Xenopus tropicalis: one gene and its partner. The protein of the gene in region 1 interacts with the protein of each later gene in a biochemical or structural test. Links are inferred from orthologs where the notes say so. Each region holds a gene or a part of one and is shown in the gene's direction. Other genes may lie near its edges.

Region 1 (3,656 bases):
AGAGAGACTGGGGGTATAACATGGGGAGAGACTGGGGGTATAACATGGGGAGAGAGAGAGACTGGGGGTATAACATGGGGAGAGAGAGAGAGACTGGGGGTATAACATGAGGAGAGAGAGAGACTGGGGGTATAACATGGGGAGAGAGAGAGAGACTGGGGTATAACATGGGGAGGACTGGGGTATAACATGGGGAGAGAGAGAGACTGGGGTATAACATGGGGAGAGAGAGAGACTGGGTATAACATGGGGAGAGAGAGAGACTGGGGTTTAACATGGAGAGAGAGAGAGACTGGGGGTATAACATGGGGAGAGAGAGAGACTGGGGGTATAACATGGGGAGAGAGAGAGACTGGGGGTATAACATGGGGAGAGAGAGAGACTGGGGGTATAACATGGGAGAGAGAGAGACTGGGGGTATAACATGGGAGAGAGAGAGACTGGGGTATAACATGGGGAGAGAGAGAGACTGGGGGTATAACATGGGGAGAGAGAGAGACTGGGGGTATAACATGGGGAGAGAGAGAGACTGGGGGTAAACATGGGAGAGAGAGAGACTGGGGGTATAACATGGGGAGAGAGAGACTGGGGGTTTAACATGGGAGAGAGAGAGACTGGGGTATAACATGGGAGAGAGAGAGACTGGGGGTATAACATGGGGAGAGACTGGGGGTATAACATGGGAGAGACTGGGGGTATAACATGGGGAGAGAGAGACTGGGGGTATAACATGGGAGAGACTGGGGGTATAACATGGGGAGGGAGAGAGAGACTGGGGGTATAACATGGGGAGAGAGAGAGACTGGGGGTATAACATGGGGAGAGAGAGACTGGGGGTTTAACATGGGGAGAGAGAGAGACTGGGGTATAACATGGGAGAGACTGGGGTATAACATGGGGAGAGAGGACTGGGGTATAACATGGGGAGAGACTGGGGGTATAACATGGAGAGAGAGAGACTGGGGGTATAACAGGGAGAGACTGGGGTATAACATGGGGAGAGAGAGAGACTGGGGTATAACATGGGGAGAGAGAGACTGGGGGTTTAACATGGGGAGAGAGAGACTGGGGTATAACATGGGGAGAGAGAGACTGGGGGTATAACATGGGGAGAGAGAGACTGGGGTATAACATGGGGAGAGACTGGGGGTATAACATGGGGAGAGAGAGAGAGACTGGGGTATAACATGGGAGAGAGAGAGACTGGGGTATAACATGGGGAGAGACTGGGGGTATAACATGGGGAGAGGGAGAGACTGGGGTATAACATGGGGAGAGGGAGAGACTGGGCGTATAACATGGGGAGAGGGAGAGACTGGGGGTATAACATGGGGAGAGGGAGAGACTGGGGTATAACATGGGGAGAGGGAGAGACTGGGGGTATAACATGGGGAGAGGGAGAGACTGGGGGTATAACATGGGGAGAGGGAGAGACTGGGGGTATAACATGGGAGAGGGAGAGACTGGGGGTATAACATGGGGAGAGGGAGAGACTGGGGGTATAAACATGGGAGAGGGAGAGACTGGGGTATAACATGGGAGAGACTGGGGGTATAACATGGGGAGAGGAGAGACTGGGGTATAACATGGGGAGAGGGAGAGACTGGGGGTATAACATGGGAGAGAGGAGAGACTGGGGGTATAACATGGGGAGAGAGAGAGACTGGGGGTATAACATGGGGAGAGAGAGAGACTGGGGTATAACATGGGGAGAGAGAAGACTGGGGTATAACATGGGAGAGAGAGAGACTGGGGTATAACATGGGGAGAGAGAGAGACTGGGGGTATAACATGGGGAGAGAGAGAGACTGGGGGTATAACATGGAGAGAGAGAGAGACTGGGGGTATAACATGGGGAGAGAGAGAGACTGGGGTAAATGAGAACATTAGAATATTCATGGCGCAGCACAAGCTGTAGCCAATCAGAGGATGTAGAGCATTAGGCGGCGCTAATATCCACGCGTCTCATTGGCAGGTTATTGTGGAAAAGGCGCCCAAAGCGCGAATAGGAGATCTGGACAAGAAGAAATACCTGGTTCCCTCTGACCTCACAGGTAGGTGTGGCCTCCTCCCCTCCCCCTGTAGGGCAGTATCTGGGGTATGTGGGTAGGGGTATTATGGGTTCCAGTAGGGCAGTACCTGGGGTATGTGGGTAGGGGTATTATGGGTTCCAGTAGGGCAGTACCTGGGGTATGTGGGTAGGGGTATTATGGGTTCCAGTAGGGCAGTACCTGGGGTATGTGGGTAGGGGTGTTATGGGTTCCAGTAGGGCAGTACCTGGGGTATGTGGGTAGGGGTATTATGGGTTCCAGTAGGGGCAGTACCTGGGGTATGTAGGTAGGGGTATTATGGGTTCCAGTAGGCAGTACCTGGGGTATGTTGGGTAGGGTATTATGGGTTCCAGTAGGGCAGTACCTGGGTATGTGGGTAGGGGTACTAAGTGTGTGGGGTGCCAGTAGGGGCAGTACCTGGGGTATGTGGGTAGGGGTACTAAGGTGTGTGGGGTGCCAGTATGGCAGTACCTGGGGTATGTGGGTAGGAGGTACTAAGCGTGTGTGGGTGCCAGTAGGGCAGTACCTGGGGTATGTGGGTAGGGGTACTAAGGTGGGTGCCAGTAGGGCAGTACCTGGGGTATGTGGGTAGGGGTATTATGGGTTCCAGTAGGGCAGTACTTGGGGTATGTGGGTAGGGGTATTATGGGTTCCAGTAGGGCAGTACCTTGGGTATGTGGGTAGGGGTACTAAGGTGTGTGGGTGCCAGTAGGGCAGTACCTGGGGTATGTGGGTAGGGGTACTAAGGTGTGTGGGTGCCAGTAGGGCAGTACCTGGGGTATGTGGATAGGGGTACTAAGGTGTGTGTGGGTGCCAGTAGGGCAGTATCTGGGGTATGTGGGTAGGGGTATTATGGGTTCCAGTAGGGCAGTACCTGGGGTATGTGGGTAGGGGTACTAAGGTGTGTGGGTGCCAGTAGGGCAGTACCTGGGGTATGTGGGTAGGGGTACTAAGGTGTGTGTGGGGTGCCAGTAGGGCAGTACCTGGGGTATGTGGGGTAGGGGTATTATGGGTTCCAGTATGGCAGTACCTGGGGTATGTGGGTAGGGGTACTAAGGTGTGTGGGTGCCAGTAGGGCAGTACCTGGGGTATGTGGGTAGGGGTACTAAGGTGTGTGGGGCACTGACTGTCTCTGGTTTCCCCCCAGTGGGGCAGTTTTACTTCCTCATTAGAAAGAGAATTCACCTTCGTGCTGAGGACGCTCTCTTCTTCTTTGTCAATAATGTGATACCCCCAACCAGCGCCACCATGGGGCAATTGTACCAAGTAAGTGCTAGGGGCAGTCTCCTTTCTTGGGTTTTGGGGTGGAGAGGGTAGAATGAGGGGTAGGTAAGTACAAGGGGTGATAGGAGAGGGTAGAATGAGGGGTAGGTAAGTACAAGGGGTGATAGGAGAGGGTAGAATGAGGGGTAGGTAAGTACAAGGGGTGATAGGAGAGGGTAGAATGAGGGGTAGGTAAGTACAAGGGGTGATAGGAGAGGGTAGAATGAGGGGTAGGTGAGGAGCTGGGCTTGGGGGTAGGTGAGGGGCAGGAACTGGGTTGGGGGAAACCGAGTTGCAGGAGGTGGGGGGAGCATAGTCGGGGTGAGTAGGAGGGGCAGGAGC
Region 2 (3,397 bases), on another chromosome or scaffold:
TTTGAGTAAATAGCAAGGGAAACTTACAATATGCCCACCTCTCCTTCCCTTTTCGGCAATGGCAAGTCTACTTGCCGTTACCAATTTAACTTGTATATCCTTTATGTTTATTTTGTCAGTTTTCACCTCAGAATAAAGGACTTCTTAAATAAAAAAAAAAAAAAAGTATGCGTGATTTTCTCATGTCACATCTTTCTCCATTTGTACTTTCTCTCTGAAGGAAACTTGCGGTTTTTGACCAGTGGAGCTCTATTGCTGTTCATATAGCTATGGATAACACAGTTGTGATGGATGAGATACGTAAGTGAATGGAAAGAGGTAAAATAGCCATTTCTTTTACCCCTGTGCCAGAATTATTGTTATTCCAAGCCATTTGTGCCAGAACCCTCATTAAAAAGTGACTTTATTGCAAACATGAGTGTTTTTCTGCAGCACATGAGCTTTTAGGGCTGTTTTGTTACTGCCTAAAGAGAAAAGTGCACCAAGTGGCACAACTAAAGAGGAAACAGACCCCGGCCCCCAAACAATACACCACTGGCTTCACTTTTAGTACCTTGGTACTATGTATTGGGATTTCAATACCTTTTCATTTGTATTTATTTGTGTTAATAAATCAAGGGTTGGTATATTTGTGACTTTGGTGTTTTTAAAAGGGACCTGTCACCAAAATATAAAAAGTTTCAAATAAAACTTGAAACCCAAATAGTTATTGGCTGTCAGCTGTATATTGTGTTTTTCTGTCTCAATGCCACTGGCTAGCAATCTATTTACATGCTGCATCTGACATTGCCACCTCCCTCATTTTGACCACTGCTGTTAGCGGTTGACAAAATGCTCCAGCCCACTTGGCACTTCTCTGAATTTTGTTAAATGGAGAGCTTGAATTTTTAAAATTTCCTATGTGTGACTGGCCTTATTGTGTGGGTTTTGCCTTTTGTGTATGTCTTGCTTAGTGTCACACAAGGCTGTTTCTGCCCCTGGGTGTGAAATTGTGAATTTTAATGCTTTTTAACAGATGCTGGAGAGATCTGCACTTTATCTCAAAACAGTGAAGGGTTGTTTATGTGCTCTTCCCTGACAGGCCGCTATACGAGCTGTATGAATCATGGAAGAATATTTTCTTTTCTTTAGGCAGATTATGCAGAGCTGGAACCAATGAGAGCTCCGAGGCTGGGGCCCTTTGTAATGGCTATACAGGCGTCTCTGACCCCAGCTGCTCCCTATGGAAGCCTCTTGTGCTACTCATACCTCTTCGGCTGGGACTAAGTGATATCAATGAAGCCTATATTGAAACACTAAAGGTACATGTTTAAAGGTTTTCTTAAAAACTTCATTATAGCAAACAAGTCCGTAAGATCTCAACTCAGGGCTACCTTGCAAACATAGGTGCTAAATTGCACCAGTGCCACAGATCAGATGTTTGCTTTCATATTTCTAACTTGGTGTACATGTCCCAGAGCCAATTGCTGACTGGATGTGATTGGCAATTGCACTTGTGCAGTTTTACACTTTAACATGATTTTTATGGTATACTTTTTATTTCTAAATGACACTGTTTACCCTGGGAAATGAAGAATATGGCTAGCCCCATGTGACATTTCAAAATTAAATATAGAAAAAATTTGTTTGTGTTTTTGAAAAATGTATTTCAATTCAGGATTCTGTTGGGGAAGCTCTATTAACTGCTGCAATTTGAAAAAAAACATATTTTCCCATGGCAGTATTCCTTTAAATCAGCCCCAGGGGGTGAACTATGACTTGAGAAATGTCAAATGTAACACTAGCCTAAGATTTATGTATTTTTTGTTTTAAAGTTATTTGTACATTTCTCTTGAGCTTAGGTTTCTTTAGAATGTTCCTATTTGGTAGCCAGTCAGAGAATTAAAAACGTACACTTTCTTATGCAGTAATGTGTATTCTCAGTATAGGGAGAAATGCATCTATTTATGAATATTTTCCTTGGGAAAAAAATGTCTTCTAATTGATGTCTTTGCCCACCTCACAGCACTGCTTTATGGTACCTCAGTCCCTGGGGGTTATTGGTGGCCGACCCAACAGTGCTCATTACTTCATAGGATATGTAGGTAAGGGTGCTCTGCCACTAACAGCAACACACATTTATGAAAACTCCACCACATTATCAGTACTATTAATACTGTAATTGGCAGAAAGATATGAATGAATATTCATATCCAAAAGGTGCACCCCAACTGTTTGCTTGCTTGAAGGGGCAGTAGATATACAAAATGTAGCTCCAAGGATTTTAGTTTGACTTTTGCTATACTATGGTCAGGAATCTTTAGATGTACATTTGATAGGCTCTTGAACACCATCTTTGAAAAGTTGTCAAACCCTTTGATCTTTTTACGTTGACATACCAACGTACCTAGCCAGGGGTGCCTGCTAACTAAATACATTTCAGCCCTGATATATTTAGGCCTTTCAGAGAAAATAATCTTTCAACTTCTTAGTTATTGAAAAAGGTAAAGGGCTTTTCTCATCTGAGCATCATAGATACACTTTTGCATGGCCCAGAGAGAATCCTTAACTAAAAGCTATTTTACTGCTAACAGAGAGAACAACAGGGTAGTAGCTATTATGAAAACTAATATATAATTGTGGTGAAGTGTAACAAGCTACAGTAGGACACAGCCATGCAGTGGAAAAGGAAGGAGCAGACAGCTTTATACAGTTGTTTGTATCACTCTAAACAGAAACTTGAAATATACTAACCCTCTAACATATCCCTGATGTATTAGTGTGCTTAATTTGGGGAATCTCTGGTATCCATTTTATGCTGTTTTTGACATTTTTCTTAGACATAAAAGTGGAATTTTGGTTAAGTCTTGGGAATTTTGTCATTCGAAATAGGGCCACAAGTTTATTACACTCACTGCAATGTTTAGCTGTCTCTTTTAGGGGATGAGCTGATCTACCTGGACCCTCACACTACACAGCTTGCGGTGGAGCCCAGTGACTGCTGTTTTGTAGAAGACGAAAGTTTCCACTGTCAGCACCCTCCATGTCGAATGCATGTATCCGAGATTGACCCTTCTATCGCTGTGGTGAGTACCAGGAGACCAAGAGCAGGTGTTAGCTCCAGCAAATGCAATTTCATAGAAGTGATTTCAATTTATGAAGCCTTCACACAGTATGTATATGTCTGCGAAATACACAATTCTGCTAGAAAACAGTAGCATGTTAGAAGCCAGTATCCATCTCTAACATTTAAGCTTTAAATTAATTTATTTCTTCCCAGGGCTTTTTCTGTAGATCTCAAGAAGACTTTGAGGATTGGTGCCAACAAATTAAAAAGGTTGGTGCAATTTGAGAAAATATTAACCCACATTTAATTCCTAGGATTATTGTTTTGTTTTTATAATAAATTATATATCAC

Evidence for each region.
Region 2: the proteins of gabarap (region 1) and atg4b form a complex in vitro, tested with the Homo sapiens proteins (3 studies listed by BioGRID and IntAct, with this or other methods). The link is inferred for Xenopus tropicalis from reciprocal best matches to the Homo sapiens genes GABARAP and ATG4B.

What each region holds. Positions count from the first base shown.
Region 1 is NC_030679.2:153,328,854-153,332,509, reverse strand, and holds part of gabarap (GABA(A) receptor-associated protein like 1), read left to right. Parts: intron 1-1,975; coding exon 1,976-2,054; intron 2,055-3,198; coding exon 3,199-3,317; intron 3,318-3,656. UniProt on the Homo sapiens protein: Ubiquitin-like modifier that plays a role in intracellular transport of GABA(A) receptors and its interaction with the cytoskeleton.
Region 2 is NC_030681.2:125,732,722-125,736,118, reverse strand, and holds part of atg4b (cysteine protease ATG4B), read left to right. Parts: intron 1-220; coding exon 221-300; intron 301-1,131; coding exon 1,132-1,301; intron 1,302-2,005; coding exon 2,006-2,084; intron 2,085-2,919; coding exon 2,920-3,065; intron 3,066-3,259; coding exon 3,260-3,316; intron 3,317-3,397. UniProt on the Homo sapiens protein: Cysteine protease that plays a key role in autophagy by mediating both proteolytic activation and delipidation of ATG8 family proteins. Required for canonical autophagy (macroautophagy), non-canonical autophagy as well as for mitophagy.